Linked DNA regions of Neurospora crassa OR74A. The protein of the gene in region 1 interacts with the protein of each later gene in a pairwise test. Links are inferred from orthologs where the notes say so. Each region holds a gene or a part of one and is shown on either strand. Other genes may lie near its edges.

Region 1 (9,977 bases):
CTCTTGACGTCGAAGGTGTAGCGAGGAGTCTCGGGGATAGTCAAGCGGTAGTAGAGCGCGATGCAGCCGGGAACAGCACCGACACCAATGACTGTCCTCCACATCTTGTCAACGGCAACGGCACAGTCTCCGGTGCACGAAGCCAGAGTAGGGGCGGCCTCAAGCGACTTCTTGAAACCGAGTGTAACGAACAACATGACGAATGCGGCAGCAAGCTGGCCAAGACCTTGCATAGCAAAGACGGCACCCATCATGGCACCTCTCCACTTGGTTGTAGCAAATTCGGAGGTGATAATACTGGAAAGAGGATAGTCTCCACCGATACCGACCCCCTGTTGTAATAGATGTTAGTTATACGTTTCTTGTGAGAGGGGTTCGTCTGAATAATTGCTTACCATAAGAACACGCCAGAAGATAATGATACCGATGATGTTGATGGAAGGTGACCCGGAGGCCAAGGCCTGAGCGAGAGTGGCAAAGATGATGAACAACAATTCCAATCCGTACATGCTCTTACGACCAAAGACATCAGCAGCGGCGCCGAAGCCGACCTGCCCAATGACCGTGCCGGCCGATGTTGCGAGCTTGATGGCTGTGTCGGAGGTTGTAGGCATCTTGCCTTCGCCTGGGAAGTAGACAATGCCGAGCATGAGGGTCAAAAGAGAGACGGTGAAGATGTCGTAAGAGTCTGTGAAGAAACCGACACCGGCAACGGCAACGGCCCGAACGTGATACCATCCGAATGGCGCTCTGTCGACTTCGGCGAGGGCGAGTCGTCGCCTCTCGTTGGGATCCTTGATGTGAAGAAAGTCATTGTAAAAGTTGTGGTAGGCGTTGTTGCCTCCGGCAGTCTTCTGAGGGGTACTCATGGCTTGTTGTCGCGATGGCGGTATCGGATACTTGAGCCTTTGTTGGTCCTCAAGACAACGAAGTCGGACTTGGTCAAGAGCCTTGGTGGTCCGATGGGAACCAAGGGAGGTAGAAGGGCGGAAGGACTTGGCTCTTGTGCTGTCGAGGAAAATAGGAAGAAAGGAAGGAGTTGGCATGCGTGGGAATTTATCTTATAGCGTTGCAGGAGGAATGGGACTACAGTGTCCCCAGGATTAGGTATTCACATCGGATGGCGTGAAAGCTACTGACAATTTCCGAGACATCACGCAGTCCCGCGGGATATCCTCAATAGTTTGTTTGACGCACCCACCTCCCACACCAATGATCAGTCGATACTTTGCCTTTACGAGCTAGCAAATCCATCCTGCTCACTCTCCCCTACAACGAGCACGATAATGCCCTTGCCATCTTCCTCCCACCCGAGACAGAGAACCTGTCTTTACGGACACGTGGGTAGCGTACCATGTCCAGCGAGCTGTTCAACCACCACGCACTCAGTTTTGGCCAAGACAAGACAGTGGAGGTAACTAAGGCAAAACTCTGAAAGCTTCGATTACTTGGCATAATGCCCCAAGGTGCAGTTTTGCACTCGGGAAGCGTCTTGGATGCCTGGGCGCCCAGTGCGCCTCTCACAGCGACACTACCCTACGTCGTTGAGCGTGGTCCGTATGCAAAAGAGCATCACATACCGAAGACCAGACCCAGCCGTTGGCTGCAAGTGCTCAAGTGCAGAAGTGCTTGGCTGATGCTTGGGTATCCAGTGTCAAGGAGGCATGAAGCTCGTGGGCTCAGCATTACACCTGATTGGCCCGTTGCTCACGGGGTGGGGGTTCCCTCATCTGGAAACTCGACAACAAGCTTCCTCGGCTTTGGGACAAGATCGATATCGACGCCCGGTCTAAAAAACTCTTTCCAGAAGCTTATCCCGATGTCCAGCTCCTCTATCTCCGGGTCCCCTCCTCCGACCGGACCAACCGTCGGCCGTAGGGGAGGAAAAGGGAGAAAAAGGTCGCCGATCTGTCGTTTACAAAAACGTGTTTCTTGTGCCTGGCCTCCTGCAAACCGGAAGTGCCCGAGTGCTGCATAATGGGCGAAGTCTAATACCTGTTTGGCCCACAGCGCCAGGAACATCATACACGAGAAGGGAGCATGTTGGATGCCTGGTGTCCGAGAACGACTCCACAAAGCTGATCTCATCATCGGTTTTTGGTGTAGTGTACTGCGTACGGTCGAGGCAAGTCTCAGGTAGCAAAGTCTGGACTGGTCTGTTGCCCCGTCCTGCCCCGTCCTGCCCCGTCAAGACCCCCGGACGTTGTCTTCGCCTCTAACCTCACTTGGCATCTTGGCACATCCACCTGCATGGGCCGCTAGGGGCCACTACAACCCCAGAAAAGAGCCGCTCCCACCTTCAGAAGGGTCTTCCCCGCGAATCGCAGGGAAAGAGACCACACGTGTGAGCACAACGCGCGGTGGTTCGCCTTTCCACCATTGGTTCGATGGATCCTTTAAGGTTCCGTAAGCCCCTGTCACAGCAGAATCCACCCACCCACTTGCCCACGCGAGCCACGCACTCGGTTATCCACCAAGACCAACGACCATTGTTGATCTGTGAGTGAGACGTCGAAACATGTTCTTTCAGAGCACGGAATCATCCGTGATTTCGCACACAACAGAAGACATGAGCGACATGTCTTTCATCTTCACCAAATCCTCGTTTAGGGCATGTGCTTTTCCATCAGTGGGGACTGGAGCAGTCCTCGCGTCAAGGCATCTCGCTTTGAGCTCCAAGGTTGGCCACCAGCTTGTCTTTATGCATGTTCGAGCAAGCACGGGGGCCGCGTGTGTGACTTTGAAGATAGGGAGACCCTTCAATTTCAGGCTTTCAGCACGTATCGTGTGATATGCATTGGCAAATCCGCAATGCTCGGCCAATCACAGCGCTGACTTCGACCACGGCATGGGCATATCAACTACGGATTATTCCTCTCGTTAACAACGACCCATTCTGGAGGTTGATAGACCTACGAAAACAACTCGCAGTACCGTGAAGTCTGAGATTCAGTCTGGTGTTGTGGTACAAACCGGTATAGACAATCCCGATGAATCTGGTGCTCAACCTGCGTATGCCAAGCTGATCTGACAACCCAAGTGCCCGGTGCGTCCCATGCCTCTGTATGTTGTGCGGCAAACATCATTCAGCGAGCCGTGCCGGTGTCAATAAACTTCCGGGACCATATCGTGAGCACGTATAGTTTTTGTGCCACTTCATTGGCTCTGTCATCCAAAACAAGCTTTCCAGTCCATCGCACAAGCTTTCCCTCCTTGACACACAAGCTTTCTGTTCTCTGCAGAAGCACTCTTCCAGTGCGTTGTTGGTGGGCTTGGATGACATCATGACACAGATCCGAAAGAAGGGCGTCTTCGTCGATACAAGCACAGGAAGATACCCAAGACCCTCAAGCTTTTGCCAAGGTTGACGGCGCTGGTGAATGCATAACAATACGGTGCAATGGTGACTGTGGGGAGCTCGACCCAAGGGACAAGTAAAGTCTTGGTAAGGCTGTGTGTGTGGCGGTGTAACAACTTTCAGCATCATAGTACCCAAAGTGCTTCCAGACGGTATGTAAATAACGTATGGGCATACCAATCTCGGGCTGTCGGTTTCGGGCAGGCGCTGATGGAGCGAAACCAGCTGCGTTTGGTTCATTCTCAAGATTTTTAAACCTCAACGATGTCGTCCTCTTCTTCTGCTGTCGCTGCTCCTCCCTCAATCTCTTCGCCCTCAGCTTCGTCTCTCATTAGTACATTTACTAACCGCTCGCAAGCATCCTGGACAGCTTCATCATTAACACGCAGGTGGGTTTCCCGAACAATGGGGTAAACACTGATGCTCCTCATCAAATCGCGGCCAGCTCTCGTTGTGGTGAGGAGAGTAAGAGTTTCTAGGTGTGTCAGGATGTTGCTGCTGTCGGGATCGCGCTGCTTGTCTGGAGGCAATAGCTGAAGATCGGTAAGCATTTCCAATGCCTCATCCTCGGGATAAACTTCGCCGCCCATGATAGGAAGTAAAATGTAGGGTAAGATATTGACGTCATCCTCATCCAAAAACGCCGGGTGCGAAGGAATGTCAAAAGCAGCGTTCTTGATAATGCTCGCCACTCCCTTTCGCCTGATATCGGACTTGTGTTCGGTAAAGACCTTGATCTTGTTGATTGGAATAACATCGTCGTAGTCCTGTCTGTTGACAAAGTAGTGCCGGATCTCTTCATGTTTCGAAAGGTCGGCAAAGACGTAGGAGAGGTAGTCGTAATCGGCGTGCTTGTTGTAAGTCCCGTCGGCGCCCTTGACGAAGAGGTCCATTAGTTGGTTAATGACCCTATCGTCGGACTTGAGCTTCTCTGGAGCGGGCTGTTTCCGGTCTAGAAGACTTTTGAGTCCATCCCACTTGGTCAAGTTTGCCAGCAACATAGCCATAAGATTGGCGTTAACCTCCTCGGGCTCCTATAGGAACGGGATCGAAGCGGTTAGTCCTTGCTGCGCACGCACCGTAGGAGCTCAGAATGGATACACATACGACAAGAAGCCCGAGGAGGATTCCAAGGAAGCGATCATCGGTCGCGACGTATTCCAGCACATCCTTCTCGGCAGTCAAGTTGATCAAGCATGTTAGGGCGTGCTCGGCGATTTTCTGCACATGGTACCGACGTCTTAGCTGAAGCTGCTTGGGCGCAAACAAGACAAGTCTGTTGGGCCTACCGGGTGGTCGCGGATCAAGAACTTGAGATGCTTGATGGGGGTGAGCTCGTCGGTCTTGAAGAGGGCGGGCTGAGACGCTGAGAAGGGCACCAGGTTCTCTGTCGCGAGAAGGCGGATGTTGGCGTTCGGCGAGGCAATGAAGCCCACGAGCTTCAGGCGATTATAGCGATTAGTTGTCTGTCCACTGACATTGACACTGCACTGGTTCTGGCAGAATTACCTCTTCAAGTTCGGTCGGCATGTTATCAATGGTAGCTGGATGTATGGTTGTATTGGACTTGCTATAAGCTCGTAACCGTGGCGAGCGAGGCTATGATGTCGCGACTTCCCTTGCTCTTATTCATGCAGTGGGCCAAGCTGCAAAAACTGTAAACACAGGGAACAAAATTCCAGGAATTTGCAACCGAAGAGGGGCACAGTGACGAAAATGCGGGGCAATAAAATGTTTATCGCTGCTCCGCCGGGCGCGTCCAAGCTAGACGATAAGCGATAAGAGGTATTGTACCGCTTATCATTTTCACCGCCCTGGCATCAGAAAATAAAGTGTGCCCACACAGCAAAGAAGTGACCAACCACAAGCGTAGCGCAAGCCTTTCAAGTGCCCAGACTTCTCCACGGCGGGAACAAATTGTCCAAGGGTCGCCGAAAAAAATATCCCCAATTGCCGTGTGCAGCCAAGTCGACATCGCAAAGAGAGGGGACAACCAGGAGAGCTCCGTATCATCAACTCTTCCCCCGATTGCACAACCCTACCGCCATTCAAGATGCCCAAGACAACAGCGGCGACGTCGAAGAGGCGCCACAACCCCCTCGAGGCCGACCTCGTTTCTACCGGCGTCCTTAAGAACAACTCCGGCAAAAAGAGCAAGAACACTCGCGCCGCCAACGACGAAGATGAGCAAAAGTATGTCGACGCCAAGGCTTCGCGCAACATTTTGGCTATGAGCCGTAGCCTCATCGAGGAGGAGGAGAACCTCCGGACAACACAAAACGCAGCCTCCGGATCTGCTCCTTCGGCGTTCGAGTTCGATCCATCGAGATTCGACCGCAACGATGACGAAGACGACAAGTTTGAGAACGACGAGGCCTGGGGCGAGGAAGAGGAGGAGGAGGTAGAGGAAATCGAAGTCGACGCCACCGATCTCGAGACATTCAACCAGTTTATCACACCCACAATGAACGAGGACCCGCTCCTAACACACGGATGGGATGGAAAGCCAGAAGGGGCAGAAGAGCAGGGTCAGAGCGTGAACCTGGCGGACCTTATTCTTGCCAAGATCGCAGAGAAGGAAGCCGGCGGCCCCCAAGGCGGGTACCGCGACGAGCCTGGCCCAATTGATGAGGATTACGAGATCCCCCCAAAGGTGATGGAAGTGTTTGAGAAGTAGGCTGGCCGTTATTTCTGTTACCCTCTTGGCAGACTACTGACAGACTCCTTCTCGCAGAATTGGCATGATTCTTTCTCGCTACAAATCTGGGCCGCTTCCCAAGCCTTTCAAGGTCCTTCCTCAGATCCCCCACTGGGAGGACATCTTGCCCATTACACAACCCGAGTCCTGGACTCCCAATGCCTGGTATGGTTGCTTCTTCCTGTTTTCGGGAGCCAGAGAAACGCTGCTGACATTTGCGATTGTTAGCTACGCGGCCACCAGGATATTTGCGTCCGCCAAGGAGGCTGTTCTTCAACGGTTTATGGAGATGGTGATCTTAGAACGCGTCCGCGAGGACATTCACGAGACCAAGAAGCTCAATGTCCATCTTTTCAACTCCCTAAAAAAGGCCCTCTACAAGCCTGGTGGTTTCTTCAAAGGTGTGTTATTTACTGCCTACGCTTAGTCAGGTTTGCTCAAAAGGGACAACCCAGCTAACCGTTGGCAGGCTTCTTGTTTCCTTTGGCGGCTTCCGGAACGTGCTCGCTGCGTGAGGCGCAGATCGTAGCCGGTGTTTTGACCCGGGTCACCATTCCGGCTGTTCATTCCGGTATGGCCATTAAGGGCTTGTGCGAAATTTCTTCTGCGCAGGCTTCTCAGCGCCTCGACTGCGTTAGCGCTACGAATTTCCTCCTCAAGACTCTGATTGAGAAACGTCACGCCTTGCGTAAGTCCAATTCCTAGCGTGCCAATGATTGTATTCTCTGACTTTGTAATACAGCCTTCCAAGCGCTCGATGCCCTCGTCTTCCACTTTCTTCGGTATCCCGCTTTCGCCACCGGCGGGCATATGGCACCCAACGCTTTACCAGTCATCTTCCATCAGTGCATGCTCTCATTTGCACAGAGATACAAGACGAACAGTGAGTTTGCTTCTTCCGTCGCTGTTTCACTATGCGTCCCTATTATTTTTGAGTACTAACCGCGGTCTTTGTGTAGTTACTGAGGACCAGCGAGAGGCTCTCCTGGATCTTCTCCTAACTCACGGCCATGACAAGATTTCGCCCGAGATCAGGCGAGAACTTCTCGCAGGTCGCGGAGGTGGTGTCCCTGTCGCGCAACCCGGATTTGATGGCGATGACACGATGCTGGACGCTTGAAGAAACATCGGTGATCCGGTAATGACTTATAGACGATGAACCCTTGGTATGCAACGAGGACATGTGGCTCATTTTTACCTGGTACGCGCATAGAGATGGGAGTCGTGTTGTTTAGTGACCTTGGTGGCTTGGGGCAGTCCTTAGACATTGACCCCTTTGATAATACTATGTCACGCCTCGACAGTGGCTACTACTCATCACGCCGCTTGAAGAGGAAGTGGTCATGCCAAGTCAGTCACCATGTACTACCCTTTGTATCTTAGTGGTGCTGACCAACCAGCAACATAATTGTTGACGACCTGTAATGCTTTAGTGCACGAAATTATAAATTCAAGATACCCGGTACAGCAACAGGAATTGTCGAGGAGCCTTGGAATAATCATTTTCAGTTATGTGAAGGAAGCTGCCTTTTGACTTCTTTGTTGCGTCAATCTGGCTTGGAATGCCCTTCTCCCATTTTTCCAAGTCCAAGGCAACCGCGATCCTCTGCCACGTTGTCGGAATCCTGAGAGAACAGTGTAAAGGGAAAGAAGGCAATGTAGCTCTCGCCTACTTCGATATCTCGTGTATCTGATGGCATCATCCCGTATTAGGTGCTTTTACCATACGAGTTTCTAGTGTTCTCTTCCTAACACCCGGTCAACCCGAACATTCTAAGCACTCCGCCCCTCTCGTTTCCCTATTTATTCTTGAGATTGCTTTCTTACCCCGAGACACCAAGTTCTACTCAGTATTTCCGCAAGATCAGGATTTTCGGCGCTGCTTTCTGGCGTTTCGCCTAAGAATCCCGACACCACCTCAACCTCAATATAGTACTTTCCCCCGTTGGGCAGATAAACAGCGATTACATCAATACAGCAGCACAACAAGGCATTGCCCAACCTTCGGAACCCATCGGTCGGGTGGCCACACTTTCAAGGCGGTTCAATTCACTTGCGATGAGCCTCTCGTCGTCGCCTTGGTATCAAGGCGAGAAACGGAGGAGAAGCTCTTTACCTAGCCTCGGTGGCGCAGTGTTGGATGGGTCGTTGAGCAGGGTGCCATCGATCAGCGGCGCATCGGTTCGTAACTCCAAAGACAATTCTCTTCGAGGGGTGTACGACCTTGACCCCCCTCGGCCACCCAAAGAAGGATATGAATGGGTTTGGTATCCGGAGGGGTACTGGGCCGAGCGCAAGTTTCGACCGATTGATTTCGCTGCAGCCAGTAGCAGAACCCCTGAGGCCAAAGTTTGGAAATGGAGAAGACGGTCTAGGAAGACTGGAAGCGGAAGCCACGACAATGACGCGTCTAGAGCTTCACCAAAGACGAACCAACCACAACAGCAACTATCGACGTCAAACAATACGCCTACCTCCCCACATAGCCCCTTTCGTACCGAGGAGGCTCATATCCTTGCTTTACAAAGCCCAGGTGTACATCTATTGACCAGCACCAGCCTTGTGGAAAGCGAGTGGCTCGCACCAAAACACAGCTTCCAAACTCCTAGGTCATTAGATCTATCACTACCTGCTGAAGTCAGCCCAGATATCCCTCCCGAATCCCGAGAGACTTTTGGGTTTCTCTCCAAGACAGGAATCAGCGCAATGTCTGTCTTTCAGAAAACAAAGGACGTAGGTTTCCAAGAGCCAATTATACAATCAGATGTATGCTGACGTTGATCGAACGTGATAGAAAGCAAAGAAATATTCTGGATCAGGACCAGCAAGTGAACGACGCTCCGACCCTGTGATATATTCATCGAATGATGGCTCTATCACGCATAGCAGGGGAAACAGTGATGAGCAGGAGATGAAACGGACTCCGGAAAAGGAAGAAAGCCGAAGGGCTTCTAGACTGAGTTACATTAGGTTTCCGAGGCGCGCATGGTCTGAAAGAAGATCCTTCCACTCAACAAGCGGCGGAACAGCAGCGGTGACAGAATCAGTAAGCCCTGCAAGCAGCAACTCATCTACACTGGGGCCAAGGATCGCGTTCTCAGGTGTGATCACTGGCACAACCCTGCTCGCTGTTATGGATGGGATCTGACTCTTGTCTAGTCATACCACCTCTGCAGACTACCAGCCAATATCCAGGAGGGGTAAGTAACTTAAGCATCGTAGAGATGCGCTTTCTTATTGATAAGGCATTTCGTGCCTTGTTTGCTATCAAACCTTTGGCTACGCACCTTACAGACTCGGACATATGCTTACGACGAGATTACAGGAGGCTACACGAATCCACACACCCCCGCTGAAAGAGGACACAGCTGATGGACGACCGCGCGGATATTTCTTCAATGTCTCAATACCGATCGGTGCAGATAATACCGAGTCGTCTGCTTCAAGCAAGGAAACTAACTTCTCAGGCACTACGATGCCTATGTCGTTGCCACCCACGCCGTTGCGCCATCCGCAGGAGAGAACTGAAGAGGAGCAAGGGGGATACCGAGGTCCTCGTAGGGGTGAGTTTTCACCACCACCAACGCCCGGCTTATCTGGGTTATCACCAACGCCCGGGGCATCCTCATTGCCAACAACACCCGGAACGACCGATAAGAAGAGAAGAGAATGGTGGGACGCTCCGACAAGATCGGCTGAAGCCAGACGAGCAGAGCGGACAAAACGCTTGGCCAATGAAAGAAGTCGTGGTGATGGAGAAGGTGGGCGCCTGCGCAAGAAGGGACAGTTCACGTTTGACGTCCCTGAACATTTACCAAATAGCCCAATGTGTCCGGCCAACCCAAAACACAAGTCCAAAGGGAAGGGTGTCTGTGTGGTGAGTGCCAGTCTTTCTCTGCGAGCTTACGTAGTTCAAATCCG
Region 2 (9,482 bases), about 450 kb from region 1:
AGAAAGGCACAAGAGCTGTATCGGAGATACGGCAATTGGGGAGGTGGCTGCACTTCCTCATCACCTGCCAGACGTCCACTTCGGACAGCCTCCTCTGGGTCTCAAGAACGTCATCACCACCATCCTTACCCCAACCAAGAGCACCTAGACCACCAACAGCAGCAACAACGGACGGTATGCTCTAGAAGATGCCCCGCTGAAGAGAACTCTTGTGTAGATGCTAGGCCGCAGCTGCGTGGTATCTCGGCACCGATGCCACCGGCTGGAGAGTGGACACCACCCCTGCTGCGGTCAAGTGCAGGTCGCCCTCGTCCTGTGATGCCGACATCGACACACTCTTCTATCTCATACCCTGAAAGGGCACCTCACCGTTCAGCATGGACAGCGGTAAATCACCAGCCGCCCAACAACTCCCTCGATAGATATTCACTCAAGCGCCCACTTCCCTCCAATGAGCCTGATGAGTCGGTATCGCATTCGAACTGGCCATCCCGTAGCCAAGCTCCCAACCCATGGCTTACTGCCATTCCACGCTCTCCTCGAAAAACATCCTCCTCCCCATGGGCTTCTCAACCAGGCAGCGCCAGCAGGAGTAGAGCTGGCAGTATTGACAGCATGGCCAGCCAACATCCACAAGGATTACCATCCCCTTCTCTCATACTATCCTCACCATCGTCTTCAATGGTATCACTTTCATCATCTAACTCTCCCAGCCCAAGACCTCAGCTACCACCCATCTCCCAACTCTGCTCATTACCTGTACCTTCTGGTCGGCGGAGGCTTCCTAATGGGAGGCCTTCCCGAGTAGGAGGTGATGCGACTAGTAGTCATTCTCGTCAAGATCACAGCACTTGCGGCGCTTATCAATTTTCCGCCGGATACCAAAGAGCACTCACTCCTCCATCATCAACATCGGCGCCGATGCACTGGAGGAGCCAAAGAAGGCCAAGCCTACAGGACCAGCATGAGCATGAGCACATAGAAGACACCCAGCCCAGGAGAATAGCAGTAGAGGCAAACATGGAATGTGGCGACGATAACGAAAGCCATCTGCATCTCCCACTACCACTACCTAGGACTTCCTCCTCAGCTTCCATTGTGGCTGACAAAAACGCGAATGACACTACAAGCGACAATAGCAGCAGCCGGAATTTCAATTCCGCTTCCATTGGTAGTGGTCGCGATGATGGCCAAACAAGTCTTGCAGCTCGCAAGACGGCGGCTTTAACACTCTTGCATCTGAGACAGCAGGAAGAAGAGAAGGAAGCTGCTGCTGCTGCTGCTGCTGCTGCTGCTGCTGCTTACTCCTCTACCAAACGACCAGAATCACCTTCATCTTCTCTTTCATCACCAGTCTCTCCCCCGCCCACTTCTGGTCAACCATCGCCTACGCTGTCGGCTGTGGTTACTGCTACCAATTTGAGAAGGGGTACTACGACTGCTACTGCTACTGCTGTTATTGACACTACCGAGCCATTGGCACCACCTCCCTCGCCAAGTAGCAATTACCTGGGTTCACCCATCTCCACTTCCATTGCTTCTTCTTCTTCTTCTTTTTCTCCCTCTACAAGTTGTAATGGTACTAGGGAGAACTCGGTCGTCGCAAACGAGATGACTAGATATGCTGGGCAAGAAGCTGATGCTGGTGGTCCGCGTCACTGTAATGGTGATGCGGATGATGAAGGTGATTACGAGCACGAGCAACAATACAGAAGGAAGAGGAGACGATTGTTGCTTGTTGGGAGGGCAAAGTCATTCTGAAGGGACACAAATCAAGATTGTTTGCATGTGTACATTTAGGGGAGAGCCAAAAACAGATTCTTGTGCTGGGGAGAAAGGGCGTGGCAGATTCTTTGCTTGATGTTGGTATTGGTCCTGTTAGGAAGGAAATCACGGTTGTGAAGAAAGAGAGTACTATCATTACAACAATTTTTCCTAGGAGGAGAAGGGAGAATAGGGTTAAGGCACTGCAGTGAATAAAGGGAGGTGTTTGACATTCGCGAAGCTTGTGTGCCTTGTTTTCATTTCTTTGCTTTGCTTTGCTATTTGTAGATTGCATCAAACAGACTGTCGAGAGTCTGTACTCGGCTATTGAAGCCCGCGGATTACGGGCGTCCGTTCCCTGTTTGAATATCTTCTTAGATTTTGCTACATTGTTACCGTGCGTTGAGTTCCATGGCAAGAAATAATTCGTTGGCTATGATATTCTTCCTATCTTTGTTCTGATTTTTGACGATGCTTTTCTTGTTTCCGAAATTAATCGGCAATGCTCGACAATTTCTTTGATTGTCTGAACTATGAAGCTTGACGAGATGCTATCTACCTAGTGATTTCGATGCGATGGATGACACAGCACTGGAATCTGTATTTTGCCACATCCAACACACTTTACTGCCGAAGATGGCAAGAACAACTATCAACCGTCCACCACCTAGTGCTCGATCAAGACCCAAAGACCATGCTCCCACCCCCTCTGGGTAGCTCGCAAGGAACAGGCAAAACTCCCACCCTTCGAGAAATGACAAGCGTGTGTATCGTCTGTTCTTCGCTTCTGCCTTCCCTGTTTTACCGTCGCAGTTACTTGATCGCTTCACCGGCTTGGATCAGATCTATTTGGTTGGTCTCCCCCCATGGTCACAGGCAAACTATGCCCGCCTACCCTCACCAACCCAACATCACACAACGCACGCACGCACACAACCACAGCAGAAGGCAGGGAGACGGGAGGAATGAGGCAACAGCTAAGGTACCTCCACCCAGACGAGACCTCTTGGCTGCCGAGAAGATAAAGGATAATCGAAAAGAAGAGAACCTTGACGGCTCGGCCATTACGGTAGAATAAGTATCTACCTTACATAACACCAAATTATACATCCGTCCCCCCCCTCAGCTATCAAACGGAACATCACTATGTTAATCCTCTGGCAGAAGAAAGCGCAGCCCGAACACAAGGGAAGGCACGACAGGCCAGCGTTACCTAGTGTGGGTAGGTAGGTAGGTACCTCTATCATCGTACTTGCCTGACATTCTCTATTTGTTCTTGCCCATCGTTCTTGTCTGCCTGCTCTAAGTACCGGGTTATGTACTAGTAAGTATTTACACAGCACTTCGTTGCCTTCACAGGACGAGCACGAAGGTGCACTGGTACGGCGGTTGCCTCCTCTTTTCCCCCTTTTCTCCCCAACAAAAAGAAAAAGAAAAAAAAAAAGAAGAAGAAAAAAGAGAGAGAAACGCGAACTGTTTGAGCGTCGTCAAGAAAATCCATTCTTTGCCCAGTTGCCATCGGTTGGATCGCCCATTTTCTTGTCAATACATGTATTATCCAACATTATACCTTGTTTGAAGGTGAATTGGGTACTCTGAGGTACCTACCTGTAACTTCTTTGTTTCTTGGTACGTCTGAGCACACATCATCTGACCCCTCCACCTTTTGATCCTATGACTTTGCTTCCTATTTCCCGTGACCGGATATTTTCACACTTTTCTTCAACCATCCATCGATCCAGTCATTGACTGTCTGAGCTGATTGTGTGAATAGAAAGTCTTGACTTGATAGTCACAGCGGGTCGAATGAATGATATCTGGCGCTTCTCTCTCTATTTTGTTTGGTGTACCCTCTCTTCATTCCCTGCAGTAGCAGCTTAGTACCGCCTTTCATCCCTTCATCTCTTCTTCTATTGTGGCCTGTTTCGATAACAGCGTTGAGATATACAGAGAGGGAGTCTCTCCATAACGTCTACTTTGATGATGTAGAGAAGGGCATGATCTATCCATCGGCGATCCACAAAAAGCGACACTGAGGTAGAAAGGTATCTTTGTTTTGACTTGTGGCTTGTTGATGGACTACAAAGCATGTTTGTTGTGTTGGACCTTGCTAAGGGTCTGCTGGGATTAGAGTACTTGGGTTTGGCTCTGTCTGTGTTATGAGGAAAATAGAGGATGGAATCCTTAGAGACTTGCAAAGAGGAAGAGTTAGGATAACTCCTTGATGATGGAAACCCTCCAGAAAATTATGAGGAAGAGCCGGAAGCTGGAAGTGGTGAGAATTGAATAATACCCTACCAAGAGTAGTTGCTCGAGAGCAAGATTTTCAAATGACAATTGAGATCAAAATGAAACAACTAAACACAGCGAACAAGATTATCCCATGACCCTATATTGTGACTGATATTGCAACAGCAATCTGCAACTACTGAATGTCTATGTAAACCGCCCATCCATCCAGTCCTCCTCTCCGTTTTTTTTTTTTTTCTCCCCGCATCATATGCATCCTCCCACTCAGCTACCTTGGGTATCATAAATTCTTTTCTCGTCCTCCCTCTCATCCTTATCGATTTTTACTCACTCATTTCTTCTCTCCCGCCTTCTTCTCCTTCCACTCCTTAATCCAGCCCTCCGCTTTCTCCCCCTTCGGCACCACAAATATTCTAACCAACTCATCCACCACCTCCGTCTTCCCACTACTCAACACCCTCAACAAGCTCGCCTTTTGCGGGACCCTGATCAGCCCGCCGCTGACACTCTCCATGTAACACTCCACTTTGTCGGGTCTATCATAGTCCCCCTCCTCATCCCACGGCATGTCCGGCAGGATATACTCCAAATGCTGGCCCACACTTTCGGTCTCCCTGAACTCCTTGATAAAATCACTCTCCAGCTTCAAGGGGTACAGCAGCATGACGGGGAAACTCAGCTCCGACTGAGGGTCAAGCGGATCAGGCACAAGCTGGATGCAAGCATCCTCCATCGAAGGCGGGTCATCGGTCGAGCGGGTCTTGATACCGCGTGCCTCGAGCGCCGCTTTCTTGAGCGTCTTCTTGCGCCGTTCTTTCTCCAGACGCGCCTCCTCGGCCCGCTGCTTGCGGGTGATTTCCTCGTTTTTGGCAATCAGGTCGCGGGCGAGTTGCTTGAGGGCGGCGTTGGAGGGGTCGATCTCGAGACCGCGCGCGCAGGCGTCGTCGGCCTCGGCGATCTTGGAGACAGACAACAAAGCGCGGCCGGAGCGGTACAGGGCTTTGAGGTTGGATGGGTTGAGACGGAGCGCGGCGGCGCAGTCGAGCGTGCAGGAGCGGTAATTGGCGAGCGACAAATGGCAGGCGGCGCGGTTGCAGTAGAGGGTTTCGAGCAGCGAGGCTTCTTGCTTGATCGTCTCCTCCTCGCTTAGCTCGTCCTCCTTCTTTTCCTCTTTATCTTCTTTTGCTTCCGCGATAGGCATCTCAGCCTTGACATTCTCCAGATCCGCCTCCATCTTGGCCTTGGCGTCACCCTCCTCCCGGGCCTTGCGCGCCTCCTCCTCCCGCTTCCGCTTCTCCTCTTCGACTTTCGCCTTGAAGGCCGGATCCCGTCTCTCCCTGTCGGCCTTTACCAGCACCGCGATGCCCTTGCCATAAAACTCCTTTGCGTCCTTCCACTGCTTGGCCTTGAAGCACTCATTTCCTTGCTCCTTGAAGTTCTGCGCATTCTCAAGGGGGGTGCCCTCGTACGCGAGCGCCTGCAGGGCAGCGAGCTCCTCGTTATCCTCGTCGGAGGGCAGGGAGGTCATGAAGAGGGGGTGCTTGTTCATCTCCTCGAAGGTCTCTTGGACCGTCATGGGTTTGGCGTTGGCGGCGAGCGCACCGGGAGGAAGGTTGCCAAAGAGGGCGGAGAGGTCGGCGCCGGGCGGGGGCGGAGCTGGGCCGATGACGGCCGGAGCTGACGACTCAGAGGCGTCATTGTCGTTAGAAATGTTGAGAGACTCGGCGGATTTTGTAACGTCCTCCATGTTGGGCGTTGATTGTGTTGTTTGGGTTTTATGGTAAAAGTGAGACTCCCGCTCACTCACTCGAGGTTGTTGTTGTTGTAGAGTGTGGACTTTTCCGTTGCTGATGTCGAAAATGACGAAACTTGAAAATGAACTCGGACTTGTGACGCAACGTATTCGAAGATATCGCAAGTCCTGTGTGTAGCTTTGAAGCGCTTAGGATTTCCCTCTGTAAGACAAAATGAAGTAACCTGTTTTGTTCACTTGAGAAGTCGAATAATCTCCTAAATTATCAAGGCTCAGTGACATTCTTCGAGCTTCTTCTGGATTTCTGCTCCGGGAAACTTTTAAGTGGGGCCAGTGGAAACATTTTTACCGCAGCGGGTCCGGCTCCGAGGTGGAACCAACGGCCCGGAGCTGCGGGGGCGGGGCACCAAATCACAGTAGGAACCGGTATCGAGCAGCGGCAAGGATGAGAGGTTTTCCATTGTACTCGTCCGGAGATTGTGTTAAGATGGTTGCAAAAATAAAAGGAAGCGAACGAAAAGGCAGAGAAGAGCGTCCGCAGAGGACGGCTTGCAAACATGCAAAAAGAAGATTTTACTGTGATCCGACCCAGGCTCGATCTGGGGACCTTCAGTGTGTTAGACTGACGTGATAACCAACTACACCATCGGACCGTGTTATTGTTGAATCCTGTTTTGAGGCCCAACCCCTATAAGCCTATTCCTTGAAACTTTCCCACTCGACACTGTTCAGATGATGCCTTTGTTACCACAGGAACTAAATAGTGCTGGAAAAGGAAGAATGAAACTGCAAGAATTAACACTTCCGCCGTTCTCCATGACTGAAGTGCGTGCTATCATCAAGAACTTTACACCTGTAGTCTTGAGGTTGTCTGTCCATGGTGAAAGATAGCACCACGATAAAAACCAAGATCAAACCACCTCATACTGGGTTCGTGCAGCGGCACGTTGCGAACTTTCCACTTTTCATTATTCCCCTCTCAGAGTCCTCTTCCTGAAACATGTTCCTAACTACAGAGTGGTAGAGATATCACCTTTCAACTGCCTCCCGAACAAGTGATTCATCCGGTACGAGAAGATCACACGATGAGACGACAATAGTCATGGGTACCGATCTGTTCACGTTGTTTGCGCCGTACAGTTTTCTTTTCTAACGCAACACCCGTTTTCGGCGTTCCCCGTTTTGGTGTGCTGGCGCTTGGCCTGCTGGTTCTTTGCTTGCTGTGTCCATATCCTCTAGGCATCTAGTATGCTGTCAATGTTGCCAGAGTAGCCACGTCGTTCCGCGGGTTTGTGTTGTTATTTGGGTTGATGGCCAGAGATTAACGAGCCGATGATCAGATTTGTTTGATCTGATTGTCTTCGGCTCGCGTCAACCTCATCGAATTGGATGTGGCTAGCTCTAAAAGAGCCTAGGAGCCTAGAAGAAAACGGTTGACAGGGCCTCTTCCAAGATAGCTCCTTTGGTCGACTTCAAGAACGTGGATTTGAGGATGAAAGAGACAAACGCTTCAATACTGGGTATGCTACTCTTACCAGTCTTGCTTGGAGACACATTTTTGTTCTATGCATAGCAGCCTTGTTAGAGAGGAAATGAGATAGGCTTATCTGAGCTGGCTGATGCCTTAGCGAACTGTTATTTGCCTTCTCGGGATGGCAGATATGGTACTTGTCCCCTTCCACACAGCGGCCCGAAACCCTAGCCCGGAGAACAGTCACTTCCGACTTCTTGCATGAAGCACTGCAAACCCATCGGACGCCGATATGATGAGGCACGTCAGTAGGTATTCGTGTCTGCTACAGGGCTGCATGCATGTGATATCTCGCTATGTATTAGTTCGCTTGGCTGTTCTATCCTTGCGAAGCGGCGCAAAAAGGGAGATAGGGGCGCAACCCATAACTGGTAATCCGACAATTGATGGATTCCCTAGCTCGGTAGTTCTGCTGTGTAAGGCGGCAAACCAAATCATACTCGCTGGTGGCGTAGTATCTCACGGCTCGGATATGGGACTGGTAGGGACTTCTGATGAGATACTTAGTCATTTTGATGCGTGTAGGAATCCGTTAATGTTCCGATGCTGAACGTCTCGCCAGAAAAAAAGAGGCAAAAACGGACGGAGAGATGTTGATAGGGCTATGACAAGCGTGTCTCCCCATTGTATGGATCCCCAGAAAGTGCGGAAGCAAGATATTGCGAAATATCCCAGTACGACTGCTTGTACAAAGTAGTCCTGGAATTGAGTAATCACCAGTACAAGGAACGCGTGCGCGGGGTAACGTCTTGACTTGGTTGATTTCCCATAAGGCAGACGAAAGGAACGATGCCCAAGGGTGTGTACGTTGACGGCTGTTCGAGTACATTGTGCTTCCTCAAGATGGCGTCAAGCTAGCGCCCTGATCCCAAAACCTTTCGAGTCGAGGAGTTTTGATGCATATGCAGTAGCGTGACACAAAGATGTGCTTGCATGGAGGCTGGGTGGGAAGACCGGCTGGGTACGGGTCATCTTGACCAAGGTATCTTGAGCCGGCGTTAACCCGGCCTCGGGAGAAGTACGGAAGCTGTCAAAGGCTGGCCGATAACTGATGGCTGAGACTGGGCCTCTTGAAAATATTCCGACAAGAATAATAACCAAAGTGCAAATAGTGATACCTCACTTTCCAGGTAGCTCACGAACTATATCCTCCATGCTTGACGTAATCAGTTGGTGCCCCTTTCGTACACCAATGCAATTGGGCCCTGCAGGAGGATGGATTGTGTAAACAGGGTTGAGAAGAGAGTGAATGGGTGTGGTATGCATACAGTTCTTCTGAGAAACAGCTCTGCGGGCACTAGTGAATGTATATGCAGTACAGTATTGTAGTAGCAAAAGGCGGCATGGGTCGAGTTATCATCCATCCGTGGTTGCATCTTCAGTTCATGAACAAGGGTCAGCAAAAAGGAGAACATGGTATTGATGGGCTATGTAACTCCGAGAGCAGGCCAGGGCGGGTGACCGGGTATTTGCAAAGTGACATCGCCCTGGAAGATCCGGCCGGGTACACGCAAGCCGCATCAGGGTGGGTGCATTGCAGCAGCCAAACCAGACTCTGCAGGCGGCAACACTACTGTGTATAGGTAGGTATGTACTAGTGTATACTATGTGTATATCCGTACCTGGTGTTTACCGACGAGTGAAATAATGGAAAATGCCGAGTGCAACCATGACCATGCCGACGAAGAGGGGATTGCAGGCATGCAACATGATAAGCTTCTCGCTCTTTATTGAAGAAATTTTGACATTGATAGCTTGCAATGTATCGGATCGATGAGTTGTCGTTCTTTGTCCTGCGAGATGATGATAACGGCGGAGCAAGAAAAAACTGGCGATCTGACAGTGAGAGCATGTGAGGACATGATGGTCTATGAGCAGACTCGGAAAATATATAAAACGGGGATGTAGAGTTGACGCCGAAGAGATGGTAAAATACGTTCCAGGTGACGGAGATGGCTCGAATGAAACACAGTGCCGGCCTAGATTGTCATCTAGAATCCTAGGACCGGGTACCTATGTAGTAGCTGAAGCTAGTGTAAGATAAAAAACGATGCGGGAGGGGCGAGAGCCTTAGAAACGCTTTTCCGGGGTCGGCCTCGATGCTGCATATGATGATCATGTGCGTGTAACGGTCATTAGTCTCACTACGAGACATCAACCAGCACTTTCCACTTGTTGTGTCTG

Evidence for each region.
Region 2: the proteins of NCU08324 (region 1) and NCU06340 interact in binary tests that used the Saccharomyces cerevisiae proteins (3 or more experiments, as listed by UniProt). The link is inferred for Neurospora crassa OR74A from reciprocal best matches to the Saccharomyces cerevisiae genes HGH1 and CNS1.

What each region holds. Positions count from the first base shown.
Region 1 is NC_026504.1:2,397,925-2,407,901, forward strand, and holds NCU08324 (DNA-binding protein HGH1), read right to left. Parts: upstream 5,049-9,977; 5' UTR 4,889-5,048; coding exon 4,868-4,888; intron 4,798-4,867; coding exon 4,648-4,797; intron 4,580-4,647; coding exon 4,466-4,579; intron 4,393-4,465; coding exon 3,610-4,392; 3' UTR 2,463-3,609; downstream 1-2,462. Other genes in the region: pho-5 (inorganic phosphate transporter PHO84), read right to left, coding at 1-332, 396-869; NCU08323 (bystin), read left to right, coding at 5,412-6,031, 6,093-6,221, 6,285-6,457, 6,526-6,744, 6,799-6,939, 7,016-7,176; NCU16789 (hypothetical protein), read left to right, coding at 7,619-7,694, 7,990-8,789, 9,075-9,157, 9,233-9,256, 9,382-9,412.
Region 2 is NC_026504.1:2,847,294-2,856,775, reverse strand, and holds NCU06340 (TPR repeat protein), read right to left. Parts: upstream 6,050-9,482; 5' UTR 5,762-6,049; coding exon 4,346-5,761; 3' UTR 4,202-4,345; downstream 1-4,201. Other genes in the region: NCU06339 (APSES transcription factor Xbp1), read left to right, coding at 1-1,761. UniProt on the Saccharomyces cerevisiae protein: Co-chaperone that binds to the molecular chaperones Hsp90 (HSC82 and HSP82) and Hsp70 (SSA1). Stimulates SSA1 ATPase activity, but not Hsp90 ATPase activity. Involved in only a subset of Hsp90 functions.